2 linked regions of the Danio rerio genome follow. The protein of the gene in region 2 purifies or fractionates together with the protein of the main gene of each other region. This does not show direct contact. Links are inferred from orthologs where the notes say so. Each region holds a gene or a part of one and is shown on either strand. Other genes may lie near its edges.

What was found.
Region 1: the proteins of kmt2cb (region 2) and paxip1 purify together in Homo sapiens (affinity purification with mass spectrometry; 4 studies listed by BioGRID and IntAct, with this or other methods). This does not show direct contact. The link is inferred for Danio rerio from reciprocal best matches to the Homo sapiens genes KMT2C and PAXIP1.

Annotation. Positions count from the first base shown.
Region 1 is NC_133177.1:32,869,175-32,878,682, forward strand, and holds part of paxip1 (PAX-interacting protein 1), read right to left. Parts: intron 5,845-9,508; coding exon 5,206-5,844; intron 4,000-5,205; coding exon 3,111-3,999; intron 2,945-3,110; coding exon 2,850-2,944; intron 931-2,849; coding exon 838-930; intron 675-837; coding exon 537-674; intron 387-536; coding exon 265-386; intron 102-264; coding exon 1-101.
Region 2 is NC_133177.1:13,460,542-13,469,286, reverse strand, and holds the end of kmt2cb (histone-lysine N-methyltransferase 2C), read right to left. Parts: intron 6,968-8,745; coding exon 6,851-6,967; intron 6,766-6,850; coding exon 6,692-6,765; intron 4,368-6,691; coding exon 4,259-4,367; intron 2,119-4,258; coding exon 2,026-2,118; 3' UTR 302-2,025; downstream 1-301. UniProt on the Homo sapiens protein: Histone methyltransferase that catalyzes methyl group transfer from S-adenosyl-L-methionine to the epsilon-amino group of 'Lys-4' of histone H3 (H3K4).

The sequences.
Region 1 (9,508 bases), about 19 Mb from region 2:
GGAGAGCTTCGAAGTTTCCTAGTAGGATGTCACACAGCCACTGTGCATTCACACATGGGATCCTCCACTCCTTCGCCTTCTCGTATTTCAGCCCGCTTGGTCTAATGGCATTGAGGGGAGGGGGGGGTTATATTAGCAATAATTAAAAACAGATTAAGCTTCCAGACAGATATAAAAATCACCCTGGGTGAGATCAACTTTATTGTGAATATACTACATAAATGTAAATAGAAGGCATAAACATGAGACTGCATTGCTTCTTACTCTTTACAGATAAGGACAGTGTTGCTTCGACACAGATAGCCTGTGTATCGTGCTCCTGCTAGATACGCCATGAGCTTCAAATCATCACGGTCACTGTCCACAAATCCAGTCACAGAAATAATCTGAGGTGCAATAAAAAAAAGACAAAATGAGATTTAAACAGGATTGCTTAAAAGAATGAAATTTTAATGCAAAGTTTTTTTTTCCCAGCCCTATTATAATGACGTTAAACTCGTGAATAAAGAATATGAATAGAAAGGGATGGTTCTTACATGCTGTGCACACGGTTTGGCCCCTGGAGGAAAGCTGAAGGGAAGATGAAGGGTCCTGTGAGGGGGGACCATCTTCTTCTTCTTGAGGACAGTGTTGAGCCAGTGAGCCGTCACACAACGCTTTCCCTCCCTCAGCGCCTGGCACAGGAAAACATTTTATAATAGATCATTATAAAAGTAATGATTAAGATAAGCCTTGACACATAACATTAAAGATGCATTTATATCACTATGCAGCACAGCAGATGGTAGGCAAAATGTATCATGCATGTTTCTTTTCAGAGCAAGCTGTCTTGCTTACCTGGAGATAGGTGTTGCTGACTTGACTCTCACAAAGTAAATGAGTGCAGCGGTTGAGAGCAGAGTCTACAGTCCCTCCATTTAGCTGAATTATCTGTGTAAAATAATGTTTTATTTGCATTATGCTTGAAGGAATGTATATATAAAAAAAATTAATTACAATTTATAATTATAATGAACTATTAATGAAATAATTTATTTCCATGAATCTTGAAAATTTCCATAATTCATTCAACATAATTCCTCAAGTTTGTTGCACATTGCTTACATTGAACAACTTTTTAAAAAATACTATCTTCTAAAATAAACCCAGAAATTGATCCTATTTGTGACAGATGCTGACAAGCTCCAGCCACCCTTTATCATGGCTTTATTCTTAGATAAAAAAATTTTCGGAAATCAATTTTTAAACCAATCTCTGATATTTTCTTCTAAAAATTGAACCATGTCCGTCAGTGGCACTGTTTGGACTTCATCCTACAAATGTCATCTTTGCAGTCAAGTGTATTAGCCTTTTGCTTAATATTTGCTAATAGAATTGTATTACTTAACTGGAAAAAACATTATCCACCAAGCTACATTTGTTGGATGTATGACCTGTGGCAGTTTATTCAAATAGAAAAATTAGATATACAATTAACGGCAAAACGGATTTCTATACAGTTTGGTATTTTAAAAAATAGCTTTTTTGTGACCTGCCCTACATATCTAACCCTGTCAGTATCTGCCTTTTTTCTTGCTTTTGAATGATAAAAACTTATCAAAGAGCGTGTTCGAAAAATAAATTGTGTGATATCTGGTGTTTAACAGTAATGGTTTATTTTTTTTTTTTTATTAATCTTTTGTTTGTTACTGTTTTGTTTGTTTTTTGTTGTTGTCATTTACTTTCTATATTTTCCTCTGAATATGCTTCAGAGTAGGGTTGGGTCAATAGACGATGCATGGTCAATCGCCGATGGCAAATAGACATCACAATGTTTAGCCGGCATCACGATCCTCCGCCCTACCCCCGTCAAAGCAGCAACCCACTTGCTAAAAAATACGCACAGCCCCGTTTACACTAATATGTCTTAGTTTTAAAATGGCATTTTAGAATGTAAACGATCCACATCCACATTAGCGTTTCACCTAGAATTTCTAAAAAAACCCTCCTTTCACACTATTCTGCTGAAAACGCACATCACGTGACCCCACACACACTGTCATGCTGCAGAGTATGCGAGGGTCTGAGCTCCAGCAGTCAGCGGGTGCTTCAAGCACAAAACCCCAGAGAGCAGTACACGTCAGACAGTTTATCAAGGATGTACCACTGGATCGAGGCTTACTGTAGTTTTAAATGTGATATTGAATTAATCTAGTCTCTATCTAACGACTCTTTTGAATCTATCTGGTAACGCGTCACAGCATCAGTACACCGCTTCAGTCTTTCGCTTTTATGCTTGTACTTAGTAATTTTCCGCAGAACTATTTATGCAAGAGTCCTGCAGAACAAGTGATTGACAGGTGGTAATTTGTGTATAACTTGTGTTTATTTATTTATGGTTTGGTTATGGTTAAAACAAAGACCATAAGGGTCAGGTAGTTAAAACGGTGGGCTACAAAGAACTAATTTGTTATAAATTTATTAATTATGCATAAAAAAAAAACTTCACCGCCGCCTACGACGATGATGCCATCCGTCGTCCATCGCTATGTTTCACATTAGACATCGTATGATGCCAAATTAGTTGACATTGCCCAACCCTAGATAAGAGAGTAAGGAATTCCTTGAATTACCATGTCAATTTTTTCTTTAATATTGTAAAATTATTGTATTATGGTTTTTATTTCTCTCACTTGCAATAACTCTGATTGAGAATTGCCAATAATAAAAAAAACTACAAAAAAATACTGTCTTTCCTGATGTTGAATTTAATCTAAAACATAACATGCTAGCTTAAAATATGGATTAAAATAAATCAATTTTCTAAAGGAATAATTTAGTATTTGTTGGAGTGTGGCGGAGTCGCTTACCCTTTTCCATGTGGCCAGTAACTGTTTATCAGCCATTTGTTCTGGATAGTCAGCAATGGCAAAAATACAGCCAACCAGGAATCCCTCTTCAGGTACTGAAAAGGTAATGATAAATGTCACCGTAGAATATTATAAATTAATACAACTCTATTCAGGAGAAGTCACTGTTTCCGTTTTTACTTTCTCACAAAGACAGACTATATGTATTGTGCTCACAAAACAATGTGCAGCTGGGTGATATCGTAAAGTAATTGCACTTACTGTCATGGCCAGGCTCGTGTCCAAAGAGCTGTGCAGATGTGATTGGAGGTTGAAGCATAGTCTGTGTCTGATGTGGATTAACCTGCTGGTTCTGATGTTGCAGAGGCTGCTGGTTCTGCAGATGTTGTTGCTGTTGCTGCTGCATTTGCTGCTGTTGTTGCAGCTGTTGCATGTGCTGCTGTTGGAGTTGTTGTTGTAGGAAATGCTGTTGCTGCTGCAAATGCTGTTGGTGCATCTGCTGCTGGTTTTGCTGCTGCTGCTGTTGTTGTTTTTGTTGTTGTTGTTGCTGCTGCTGCTGCTGCTGCTGTTGTTGTTGTTGCTGCTGCTGTTGTTGTTGTTGTTGCAACTGCAACTGAAGTCTGTGCTGCTGCTGTAACTGTAACTGTTGTTGCAGCACATGTTGCTGCTGATGCTGCAAGGGCAGCCTCGGAAGCTGTTGGGGTCGCATTTGTTGTGGGAATGCATGTTGTTGCTGCTGCTGTTGTTGCTGCTGCTGCTGCTGCTGTTGATGTTGGGAATACATCTGCTGATGCATCTGTTGCTGTAAGAACTGATGCGATTGTGGAGGCATTTGAGGAAAGCCTTGTTGGTTTTGCTGCTGCTGTTGTTGCTGTGGCGGCGGCTGATGCTGTTGTTGTTGTTGATGGTGGTGCATCTGCATGACCTGTGGCAGCATCATGGGATGTTGTTGTGCCATCTGATGCTGCTGCTGTTGCTGTTGTAGCTGATGTGACTGTTGCTGCTGCTGTTGTTGCAGTAACTGCTGCTGTGCTTCAGGAGGAAGCTGCTGTTGGGCTTTTAACAGAAGCTGGTTGGGAATACCAGACTGGCCCTGATTTCCCATATGATCCACTACACCTTTAGAGGATGCGGAAAAACTCTGGATGATCTGTAGAAAAATGCATATGTTTCATTAAACTTTAAAAATACATAAAGACACTTCTGCCTTTTGTACAAATTAAATTATAAAAATACTACAAAGATATTTAATTTTGATCCTTTATTAGTTTTTTTTTTATACGCATGAAGTTTCACTGTGTGCTTTTAGACAGAATTGACAAATTGCAGCCTGAATGAATGCAAATTGTCACCATTTACTCAACCTCGATTTTTTAAACTAATTATATATATTTTTGTTCAGTTAAACAAAAAATAAGATATTTTGATTAATGTTGGAAACCTGCAATCATTTATATACATTGTAGAAAAAACAAATACTATGAAAGTCTAGGGTTTCAGGTTTCCAACATCCTTTGACATATCTTCTTTTGTGTTCAACAGAACAAAAATACTTTAATAATAATTTAGAGTATTCCGTTGAAGCTGCACACCTTCTCGCGTCCACAGGACATATCTAGATTGATACACTGTGCAAAATATGGTCAAAGCATTAGGTCTAGGGCTGGGTGATTAATCGAAAATAACTGAAATAGTCATTCAGAATCTGTAATCGATCAAATTTTTCCATGTCAATTTTTTCAATTATTTTCTGTGCTGCATGTGGAGTCATGTAAGCTCACTCGCTTAAGGCTGATTTATACTTCTGCGTTGAATGCACGGATGTTGCACTACTTTTGCACTACTTTGATGATGATTGTAAGCTGCGCCAGAAAAGCCTTGAGACTGCATATTGTCCATTACATTAAGATTATTATTTATATTAAAATATTTGTTTACTGAAGACTCAAAAAATGCATGGTTTAAAATATTATTTACAGGATATACAAGAGGTACTTTATTTAAAAGAGAAACTACTTATTCTCTACTTTTAATATGAAAAACCTAAAGATTAAATTTGTTTCCAAAAGTTTTTTTCAACTTTGTTTTTCAAGAAAGTGACTGTTTAAGGCAATGTGTGTTTTAATTCCAGTTGTTCAACATTAAAGTAAATAATCATAGATAGTAAAGATCAAAAATCTCTCACTTGTAATATGTGAGCCTATTTACTGTACAAAATCTGTCAGTAAACTATGAGGTCAAAAAATTAATTAATAGTTCAATTAATTTAAATCACCCAGCCCTAATTAGGCCTTATAAATATAGGAGAAATTCTTCCTTTAGATATAAAAGTTACATTGAAAATTCTAATCCTTACATGTGCCACATTGGAGGGTCGAGAGGGCTGTTGGGTATCAGTGTTGTTAGTGATGTTTCTTAGCGTCCTGGCGGCTGAATTCCATTCACTCATGACCTCTAATCTTTCCACCCCCATAGGCACACCTCCACCTGCACCTGCACCGACCATTCGTGCATCAGGTGGCCCAAAGCTTCCTGGTACAGGTGGGACATTGGCACACAGATTGATCAAACCGGTTTCTTTGCCAGGCTGTAGTCGACGTTTAGCCGGACCAGGCGGAAGCACCTCAGCTGGGGTCCAATTGAGATTGCGATCCTCCTTCTCTGGGGATGAGTCATCAGAGTCATCGAACATCAACTCTGATTTGCGTTCATGTTTGGTTGAGGGTGAGCGCCTGCCTGCTGGGGATGCGTCTCGGGATGATGTAGGGCTGGAGCGTCGGCTGTGAGGCGAGCGTCTGTCACTATAGCTACCTTCAGATCGTGAGCTCCTCTCGTTTTCATACTCACTGCCCTCCTCTTCCGGTGCATCATATAATGTGAGTCGTGGGTGATATAGCATCTCATCTTTCCTGTTCTTTTCTTTTACAGAGTCCAAAATCCATTCTGGAGTTACTATCTTTATGTTATTATGCCGCAAAGCACACTCGTACTTGGCCTGGAAAATACAGAAAAAAACAAACAAATGAAAAACAAATTACAGTAGAGCTGCATGACTGATCGAAATGAAACAGAAATTGCACACTGTCTCGGTGCGATTATCAAATCACAAGCTGTAATTTAATTAAATAAATATATTTCACAATACATGCTCCTCCACAGAAACTTAATTTCTGCATGCGCCAAAAAATTGTGTTGCTTAGAATAGGTGCATTTGGGAATATAACATACGTCAACCATCTTCCCAAGCATGTAATTTAAAAGGCTTTGTTAACCAAAAAGCTGCTTTGATCAAATCCTGCAGTTTTTCAACAAAATAAGATTAAAATATGAATATTATAATATTTGTTTTTTGTTCCAAACGCTATATGTACTTATTTACTTATGTGCCATTTAAATACTTGGTAATAACAAAAAAAGTTTTATAAATGCATGCAACATAACATAAGTTAATATTACTCCAGGGTTTTTCCTACATTTTTGGATGTACTTAAGCAAAGTGTATTTATATAGCGCATTTTATCTTGTAAGGCCATCATACCCGTCAACATTAGGATGTAAAAATAAGGGATATGCCCACCATAAGGGATTTAGGGTTAGTGTTACGGTTAACAATCATGAGGGGGTGTCTCTCTCTCCACACCACCACCAGTGTGCAGCATCCACTTGGATGATGCGACGACAGCCACAGGACAATGACGCCAGTGCGCTCACCACACACCGGCTATACATGGAGTGGAGAGATAGTAATAGAGACAATTCAGTGCATGGGGAGCAGGCACATGCACACATAGGGCTCAACCTGTGCAGTGCACATGTCCTTTTTAGTCTTGGATAGAAAGTGCCCTTCTAAAATGATCAAAAGTGCCCCCCCACCGCCCTTCAGAGAGAGAGAGAGAGAGAGAGAGAGAGAGAGTTTTAATTTTATTGCCATTTCAGCTTCTATGGCTATGTCATGGCAAAAAAAAAACAGATCAAGGTTACCACATTTTATGAATACCACTTTTCTATATTCTTAAAAAAAGTCCTAAAAAAAATTAAGTCATTAACAGAAATAAATAATACACAAGGTAAAATACATAAATAATAATAAAAATGATAATATATATGATAAAAATCTAAAACAGTTTTTTACGGTTTCCTTTTGATAAAAATTCTACAATTTTAGAAGGATTAACATTTTTAAAAATTTCACTTAGAGTCTCTCCAGTTAAAAATTGTTGTCTAAGAACATTAAAAATGGGGCATTCCACAAGAATATGTTTAACAGTTTGTTTTTTGTTGCAATAAAGGCATTATGGGGGTTCTTCTCCTTTGAGTAAATGTTCATGCGTGAGTCTTGTGCGTCCAATGCGGCATCTTCTATACACAATATCATCGTGTCTTGACTTAAAAAAAAAGTGATTTTTTTCCTATTTCTTGTTGAATTTAAAAAAAAGTTTATTTTCTGGGCACTGATTCCCGCGCGCGACAACACCGCTCCTGAGTACGCGTGTTCCCTACCACCCCGCGCTTAACAGTACGCGCGTGACAAAACCACTCTTCAGTATGCACCCGGCGGTGGCGGCGACGACGACGACGACAACGACGACGACGACAACAACAACCCCCACCTGCTCTTCAAAAATTTTATCCTGCACATGCCCTTTGGACAGTCTCTGCACGAGCATGATGGGGAGGATTGGGAGGCTATGATCAGTGAGGGCCGATGGAGGACACCGAGGTTACAACCCTACTCTTTACGAGAAGTGCTATGGGATTTTTAATGACCACAGAGACTCAGGACCTCGGTTTTATGTCTCAACCGAAAGACGGCGCTCACTGACAGTATAGTGTCCCCTTTACTTTTACTGGGGCATTAGGACTCACAGACCACAGGTCAAGCACCCCCTGCTAGCCTTACGAACACCACTTTCAACAGCAACCTAGTGGCCGGAAAACAGCTTTTTTTGTCCCACCAAAGCCTTAATTGATTAGAAATTGTGTAATTGTGTTGAATATATAATAATATTTAAACAGACCTGTCTCCAAAAGCAAATGCATGACCATCATTTTTGTGAGGTAAGCTTATTAACCAATAAAGTGAGTAAGGGTGTCACGATCTCGATTTTAAATCGAAATCGATCGAAATTTATGCTCAATTTCGATTATCGAATCATAAAATAGAATCGTCGATGCTGCCACGCCCCCATGTCAAGTCAGCTTGGCTTGCCAAGCGGGAAAAAAACACGCTTGTTAAAGAGCTTGTTAAACGGCAGACGCAGGAGACCTGTCGACAGAGCTTAAACCCTCTCCTCTTTCAATGAAGTCGCCGGTGTGGAAGCATTTTGGTTTCCAGTGAGTTATGTTGATAACGTTCGTGTTGTCGACAAAAAAAAAAAAAAAAAAGTTTTGCAAGCTCTGCAACGCACGTATTAGGGTTCGTCCAATAGACAACACCGGCATCGCGATCCTCTGCCCCGCCCCCGTTGCAAATCCGCTCATGAAAAGTACACACTCTGGCAGTGTTTACACTAATATGTCTTTGTTTTTAAATGGCATTTTAGAACGACAACGATTTGACATCCACAGTGGCGTGTAGCATTTCTGAGCAGCCCTCTTTCCTCACTACCGTTGAAAACGCACATCACGTGACCAAACACAGACACAGACGCACACACAGCCATGCGCTCAAGACAGCGGGTACAGGCAGTTAGCGGGTCAGTAGACTGCTTCAATCTTTCACTCACTTGTACTTAGTCATTTTAGCGCACACCTCAGATACTGTTGGCTGGTTCCTGTTGCATGTGCACCTTTTTTACCGCAGCCATTATAACGACACATATCAATGCCTATTCATGAGTCCCGTAGAAAAAAAGAGATTGACAGGTGGTAATTATGTGTGTAACTTGCCTTTATTCATTTACTGTATGATTTGTTTATGGGTAAAACAAAGACCATGCAGGTCAGGTAGTTTAAACTGTAGGCTACAAATAATTAATTTGTTATTAATTATTCATAACTGAAAATCGAATCGAACCGTCACTTTAGAATCGAAAATGTAATCGAATCGAGGATTTGGAGGATCGTGACACCCTTAAAAGTGAGCGGAGCTTAATTTCCTCAATCAGCAGAGCCCAAACCAGCTGCAGGTCACTCCCACATAAATAAGCAGGAGAGCAGACTGTGAGCGGACAAGAGTTCCCAGAGAACACAAACCAGAGAGCCAGAGAGAACACAAACTTAGGTTTGATTTGCTGATAAGTTTAGACAAATAGATAAATTAAAAATATGGTCAGCCAGCCAGCCAACAAGCTAGACCAATTATTTACATGCAAATAAGTTAATATACAACAACACAATGAACTACAACTACAATTTTTACATAGCTTTACATGCATTCTGAATTATCCATGGCCTCAAAGTCAAAGACAGAGCATCAAAGTCAAAACAGAGCATGAATCAGCACAGTAAATTGTTAAATTATACAGAATGTTTTTAACTCAGAGTTCAATTTAAAAAGGTTAGCATTCTCACCAAATATAACCAATGACATTTGTTTGGGTACCAATAGTTGCCAATAAATGGCAAGCTTTAAAAAGCTAGACGGTAAGAACGGTGGCTATAAAACTGATTCTTTTTAAAATGCACCATTCAGAGCCAATAAAACAAAACCAGCCTGC
Region 2 (8,745 bases):
AAGAAGGTTGCTGGTTCAAGCCTCGGCTGGAAATGTTAACTGACCCAGCCATGTATATATATATATAAGAAAACTCACTGTTGTGCGTTAAATGTAAAAATGCATTCAGAGAATATTATAAAACTAATTGTTGTATCATGAAATTTCATTTCATTTTTAGAATATTTTTTAAACATCAAATATTATTATTATTATTATTATTATTATTAAGCAATTATAACTTAAATTCTTCAAATGTATTTTTTTAATAAAAAAAGAGGCTTCAACAAATTGGCAGAAGAAAAAAGAAGTTGTGCATCAATCATGTAAAATATTTTATTTTTTATTTTTTTGTAAATTCAGTTCCTCAAATACCAAACCCTATATCATTCTGTGTACTCAAAAAAGTTTCAGTTTCCAAAACAATTTAGACTACTATACAGAGAGAAAAAAAATTAAACAAAAGAACAACACTAGGAAAATGATGTATGTTACAAGACAAGGAAAATATCCATAAAACAATTTTGTCACAGCTGTTCATTTGAAGAAAAAAAATATATACAACTGACTCTTTTTTTTTTTTTTTTTTTTTGAAAAAATTCATGCCCATTACAATACAAAGTCTAAACTGTCCATTTTCAACGTGAAATTGTGCACACAGAAACTTCCAAATTGAAATAACAAGGCATGTGAAATGTTAAAAACATTTTTGGCTACAAAACGAATAGCGCTTCACTTCAATCAATAAAACTAATACAAGCATCTATTTTTCATATGTACATATTTGAGATTTTTCAGAGAGTTAACCTGGCCCTTCGTTCAGCGATTCCTGCTCATAACACCATCCAAAAATGACTTCTTATTCTCGTTCATTTATAAAATCCATACGACGGTCTGTATTTATATATATATATTTTAAAAAAAGAGCTACTTGTGCATGTTGCTTGTGATTTCATAATCGGTGTGTGAGGTTTAAAGTTCATTTCACAGTTATCTCTACATCTACAATCCCACCTGATTTACTAGAAAGTCACTTGCTTTGAACTCTGCTCTGCTTTGAACAGCTGCTATCAGCAGCAGAGCATAAAATGGAATGAAATTAAAACGAAAACCAACAATATGGTCAGCACTAACGTAAAAACCACAAAACCACTACAAATACCACATCCTAAACAGAGAAAATACTTTTCTTGTGAAGTCACCTTTGCAATAATTACACGTGGTATCATGATGTGCCAGTTAAATTATTTCCAATGGGGAAAAGAAAGAAGAGCAAAAGCAAAGCAAAACAAAACAAGCACGTCTAAAATATCTGAACATCAAGATGAATAAGGTAGTGAATGAAGGTAGTATTTGGTCAATCATTCAGATATTTCTCTATATTTACACTGTATTTACAGAGTCTGTAACAGAATCTCAAACTGCGTCAGGCATCCTTTTTATCAGCATCAAACTGCTATTAAAATAGGCCCATTCATTCACTCGCACAGTAATAAATACATAACATCTTTATTTTCTTACACTAAACAATGAGAGATATCTAGGATAAAACTGACTCATGGAATCAAGTATTTTTTCATTTATTTTTGTGACTTTGTTTTCCTTTTTTTCTTTTTGATTTTTTGTTTTTTTAGTGCAACATGTTTTCCCTTTGCGGAAGTCAATTCCGTACATTCTCCATTCAGTGATGTTCTACATTGAGTTCTACGATACAGTCTCTACAGATCACGCCGTACAAATGGGTTACCCTTACCATCGACCTATAAGGCGATACCCAACACAATACTTTCGTTCATTTCTCATCCTCTTTTGCTGGTGAAGTCTGCCCCATGTGACACACACATTCAATCTGACACACACATACACACACACAGACTCGTGGCACATGCAAAAAACTGAACCTTTTCCTTTCAAGTCAAGAAAATGATACGAATGGCTCTCACACAATGCTGTACTCTTGCGTTGTGTTTTCCTCTTAGTTTTGCACATTTAGAAATGTTTCCTAATGTCTCCCCTGGTGAACTGCCAGCTCATAGTTGGAGTTTTTCAGTTGATCCACTTGCGACATTTGGCTGCTCCACAGTGACATGGGATCTTGCTCTGATCGTTAACAGGAGTGAGCTTGTAATCATAGCAGAGCTGCAACAAAACCATTCAAAAGTGGGTTAAATCTCAGATCATAAGGTTTACAGACAGAATACTTTGCTGTTTTTCAATATTTCATCACATAATAAAGAAGAAAATCAAGGCCAGTTCGCAAGGACATTATGGGAATAGTTTCAAAAAGATCTTTCTGAATGTAGAAGAAAAAAAAGTCACTGGATCACTATCCACATTTTTTTTTCCTGCTGATGAAAAATCTGAATGAGAGTTCATCCTGAGGAAGATACAAACAAACAAACAAAACAAAACAAACAAACAAACAAACTACTGCAAAACCAATAGGACATTATTGTGAATGCTTATATAGTTACTCTTTATCATCCTTAATGCAAACAAGCCTCAACAGAGATATGTGTGCGTAACAAGCATTTCACATACACTGTTTGTTTTATTTGTTTTATTTATCTGTTTAGGAGTTGTTAATAATACATTTTTCCCTATCATTTCTTTGTACTCTTATATTTTGAACCCTATCATACACCTGGCGCAATAAGGCACAAGACGTGTATGACGTGATTTGTTGCTATTTTTAGTCCAGCGCAACCCTAATTGTCACATCTTTCATTCATTTGCACCACTTTATGGAATCATGATTGAAGGAGTGTTAAGCCACATTGTTGGTGTGTTGCTATTTTGAGACAAACTGAAAAAGGGAATGGGAGACGAGACTCTGATTGGTTTAATGCACTTCATGCTCAAAACACACTCTTAGCTTATTAAGAAAATAACCACAACCCTGTTAAAACATGCGCCGTATCACAAACCGTATTTTTCCGTCCTCAAAATAGCATAAATAGTGGATTCTGACACACCCTTAATGCTTAAGCGGCATGCACTTTAAGCCTGGTTTATACTTCTGCGTCAAGTGATCGGCGTGACCCACGACGCATGCAATGCGCGTAGCTGTGCAGTCATACTTCTGCGCGCTATTTCTGTTGCTCTGCGATAACACTTCCGAAATGCTAGTTGGCAGTAAGGTGTTAATGTTCCTCTGTGTTGAGGTTCTTCGCTGATGTTTTGTTTTTTTCTGAACACTTCCTTAATGTACAAGTGGTTCAAACTCTATCATTTTGATGCAGAAACCGGCGGATGTGCAACAACTTTAACATGAGGCACACACAAAACAAAACTTTCCATCCAGAGCTACTTTATGGGAATCCACACTTGTACACAATAGCTCCACCGGGCTCGCGCGGCTCTCGGTCCTGCCCACACTCGCCAGCGTTAACCAAGCCGACCAATCACAGAGCTTGTGCTACATGTCGTTGCGACGTGTAGTTACATTTTTTGAGAGGTGCGCATCAGCACCTGCACCAATGATGGCCACGACGAGGGCTATGCGTCCATGCATAGGCCACGTCGTAGCCTACGCATACGCTTGACGCAGAAGTATAAATCAGCCTTTAGACTTAACTCCTAGACTGTTAAAATTACGCCTTATGTTTTGTTATTCAAATTTATTTAACAAAAAAAAAGCCAAGATAGAAAGTAGTAGGACAGCCTATGATTCTGTAGATCCACTTTAGAAGTAATTACCTAAAGTCATGAGTTTTTGCACAGCTCTTGCCACAGCATTACAATTAGTATGAGGTCTGGACTTTGACTGGACTACTGCAACAGCTTGAGGTTTATTTTCAGCTGTTCTGTGGTAAATTTGCTGTGTGCTTGGGATCATTGTCAAATCTCGTTTCATCTCTTTAATGCTATTTTGATACCAGGTACTATGATACATTGCAGTTAGTTTGATCATAGGTGGATGATGTTACATGTTTAAACAAAGTCTAAAAAGTTAGAAGCTTTTCAACTGTTGACCCCTTTCAGAAGTAGTCAACCACACATTTATTAATATTGCTTTCAGAGTGTAACTGCTCATGTGGTTGATGTGTTTGAGTTGCTAAAGACCACCTATTGACCTAACATGAGATTGTAAGTCAGGTAACAATAAACAAAAACTAAATGCAAAACTAATGTACAACTAAATGTCCTATACAATCCGATATCAATATATGAATATATAAGAAAACAAACAGAAAAAGTATCGGTTGTGTTTGTGGCATTAGCAAATGAAGTTATTTTATTTAGTGTGCATGACAATAAATGACAGATAAAATCTCACCTCTTCTCCTCTCTCAATCCTGCAGGCAGCACTGATGATGATCTTGTAGCCCCGCTCAAACGTCACAACCTCAGCCACACAATTTGGTGAGCATGAATGATTTATGTACCTAAAAAATAAATGAAATAAATCTTAAATCATTATTAAAGCGGTTGTAGTTATTCAGTGAGCATAACTGTACTTCAAACTGCACAGAAAAGACTCCTGTAGCAGAAACAGTGCAAGAAAATGTATATACTAGTTTAACTTATTACACTATTCAACACTATTCTTATTTTTTTATTTAATATGAATTTTTTACTTTACTAAGGATGCATTAAACTGTTTACAAATGACAGAAAATACATTTTCAATGTTACAAAATATTTCACATAGCTGTATTCTTTTTTACAAATAAACCTTCTATTCAGCGAAAAATAATAAAATAAAAATATCATGATTTTATCTACTGATTTCAATATAATTAGAAACATTTCTACATTTTAGAATGATTTCAGAAGGATCACTTGATGCTGAGAGTTGGAGTAATGATGACAAAAAATAAGCTTTGAATCAAATGAAGGAATTTAATTCCAAATATATTAAATATAAAATTATTGGCACAGCATTGTGGATGATGGATATATGGTTATTCAGTGCTCACTCAGCATAAATGAGTACACTCCTCACAAATCTCTTTTTTAAATGATTATTTTCTATAGAATACACAAAAATATTTGTGCAAATACATTAGATTAGTCGCCCAAACTAGAAGTAATTTAAAAAGATTCTTTCTACTTCTCACTATTTTTAGTGAAACTTGTATAATGTATACATTCATTTCACACAGAGTAAAATATTCAAGTGTTTATTTATTTTAATTTTGATGATTTTGATGACAACTAACAAAAACCCCAAATTTAATGTCTCAGAAAATTTGAATATTGCTTAGGACCAAGACAAAGAAAGGTTTTTTTTTTTTTTTAAATCTTGGCCAACTGAAAAGTAATGAACATGAAAAGTATGACCATTGCCTGAATTACTGCAGCAATGCACCGTGACATACGGCTAATCAGTCTGTGGCACTGCTTGGATTATATGAGAGCCCATGATGCTCTGATAGTGGCCTTCAGCTCTTCTGCATTGTTGGGTCTGGCATACAGCATCTTCCCCTTTACAATAGTCCACAGATTTCCTATGTGGTTAAGGTCAGGTGAGTTTGGCTAATTATGAACAGGGATACCATGATCCCCAAATCCCAGGTACTGGTAGCTTTAGCACTGTGTGCAGGTGCCAAGTCCTGTTAGAAAATGAAATCTGCATCTTCATTAAGTTGGTCAGCAGCAGGACGCATGAGGTGCTCTTAAACGTCCTGGTGTAGAGCTGCATTAACCATGGACCTCACCAAACACAGTGGAGTAACACCAGCAGGTGATATGGCACACCAAACCATCACTGATTGTGGAAACTTTAGTCTGAACCTCAAGCAACATGGATTGTGTGCCTTTCCTCTATTCCTCCAAAGTCTGGGACCCTGATTTTAAAAGGAAATGGAAATTTTACTTTCATAAATGAGCATAATTTTGGAGCACTCGGCAGCAGTCCAGTCTTTAGTTTAGGAATCTTTTGATGCCATCTGTTCAAGAGTAGCCTGACACAAGGAATGTGACTGCTAAAACCCATGTCTTGCATACGTCTGTGCGTAGTGGTTCTTGTATCAGTGACTCCAGCTTCAGTCCACTCTTTACCCCACATTTTTGAATGGGTTTTGTTTCACAATTCTCTCCAGGGTGCAGTTATCCCTATTGCTTGTACACTTTTTTTCAACCAAATATTTGTCTTCTCTTCGCCTCTCTATTAAGGTTGGACACAGAGCTGTGTGAATAGCCAGCCTCTTTTGTAATGACCTTTTGTGTCTTGCCCTCCTTGTGCAAGGTGTCACCACTTAGGGCCTTTGCAGGTGTTTTTAGCTAATTAACTGATTAGGGTGTGGTACCATGTGTCTTTTCCTTTGAAACAGTGACTGGTCTCTTTTGAAAGATTACCTAATGTATTCTTGGGAACTTGTTTTCGGGAATTTGTTTTCCATAACAAACTTGTGAAGTCAGAACTTACAAGGAAAGAATGCAAGACTGAACTTTGTGTACTTAAATATTGAGAAAACCCCAATTAGATGCAGCGAATTTCTGCAGCCATGCCTCCATTTCCAGATGTCTCTGTTTTCCCCCATCCACACTGACACGGAGCAGCAGCATTTTAAAACAAAAATGGCCTCTTCAGCATTTTCAAAAAGCATTTTCAGGGCTCCTAAACTCCAGGTTAGTGTGGTCGGAAAGTGTATTTGGATTGAGGTGAAAAGTGATTGTGTGGCCAGGAGTTGGGTCAGGAAATTTTTGCTATGTGGGTAATGTACATATTACAATGCTCAAATGACAGGTCAAGATAATATCTAACCTTGCAGGGCTTCCAGAGTTGGTTGCATCAATAACTCGCTCACTGTCAATGCAGAACATGTACGCTGGCCGGTTCTGTAGGAAACAATCCACACAGACTTAGAAGAACATATTAAGACAGCATTCCACATCATTCTCTCATTGGTTGAGCATGCTTTACCTTAGCCTTGTACAGCAGCTCTCTCCTCATGGCCACCTCAGTGCGTAGAATATCCCCCATGTATTCAATCACCATGGTCTGCTTCTCAATGGCACGTGCTGCAAACAGGCCAAGACCCTGCAGACACGAGATGCATTAGACTTGCATCAACACCCAAGACTAATGCTCATGCACAAACAGGTTACATTCTATACACTCAAATCATTTTCATATACAAAATTAAAAGAGCTATACCTGTAGCTTACTTTCATCTACAAACCCTCAAACATGGGTAAAAAGTTACACACTCAAATTTAATAGCCATTCCATTAAGGTTTACTTTAGGCCACGTTATTTTTCAGCAAAGTTCTTTGGTTCAGTTGAAAAAGTAGATTTAAATACAATTTAAACAGCAATGATAATACTGTGATTAATGATCTGAGTTGATTTGATGAAAACCAGTCATGATAAGTGTCAGTTAGCACAGTATTATTGTTGCTCTTTTATTTAAAACTTATTTCTGCAAACCTTTGCATTGTAGTGTGTAGCGTCAAAAACATTATCAGTGAATCAGTCACATTAGGAGCACCAGGAGTTAGGGGGCAATCAGTGACATTTCGAGCTAAATATATGATATTCTGTAATGACTTTTTGTGATGATGTAATGATGTGATGTTGGTAATCCTTGAAAGTGTCTCTGAATTGTGTATTCTGATGCACTTAAATTGTGTTATTCTGTCTACGTGGTTTCCATTTATGTAGAGGGGGCATGGACTTTCTCATTCCTGCTAAAGTCAATAATGACCTCCTTGGTGCTATGTAAATGAAGATTAAATGAAGGTGCACCGATCTGTTAAATGCTACACCTCTTCTCTAATTGCTTTCTCATCCACTCCTGAAATCCTAAAATAAGTCCAGCCACTGTTTTGTTGTGGGGTGGGCTGGAACACAAGTGTAGGTATAAAGCAGGGTTGCTCAATTCTGTTTCTGGTGATCCACCCTTTTTAAGAGTTCAGCTCCAACCCTGATCCAAAACAGCTAAACCAACTAAGTGGGATCTAAAGGAGGAATACTTGATAATTAAAGACAGGTGTGTTTGATCAAGGTTGCAGCTGAACTCTGCAGGATGGTAGATCTCAAAGGACAGAATTGGGCAGCCCTGGTATAGAGTATACATTAGTGAACTCAGCACATAACCCTGAGGTGTTCCAGGTCTGAGTGATACATAAGAAACAGATGTCAGTTTGTGATGAATTGAATAAAAGTTGCCCTTCGGATGGGGAACTTCAATGCTATAGTGGATTTAATCCACTTATGGCAATTTCGTTCAGAAAGCCAATAGTCTGAAAGTGTATGTAAACGGGCTAATGAAATGTCAATAAATTGGCAGCGTTAGCTTGCGCACCTGATGCAATCAATTTAACAATTAAAGTACAGTGAAAGCAAGGTGAGGCATCCTTTTTGCTTCAGAGACTTCTACAGCCTTCTAAGAGAGTCGATGAGGGTTCTTCCTGATGATATCCAGCGATTTCAAGCAAACGAGAGCTGTGTTCCGGTCCAGAGTGTGTACACGCAGCAGCAGACGGTCGAGCTCTTGCCTGGTGTTCTTTGGGTCCGTTCCTCCAGAGCGGTGCGTATTTTTGCAAATTTCCTAAAAGAGCAACACAGTCGTGTAGCACGTCCTTTTCAAGATGGCGCTCCGACTGCGTTTCTGGATGCGGTGTTTTCCTGTCCCCGGATGATAGGCATGAGCACTGCGTTGCATGTCTGGGGGTCCAGCATGTTAATGCGGTGCTTGCGGGCAAATCGTGTCATCATTGCGATGGCATGTCTGTTGCACTGCTAAGATCGCGGCAAGCTCTTGCAAAAGGGCGAACCACCCCAGCTGTCCTCTGCACTGCAGCGGGCACTCGGGC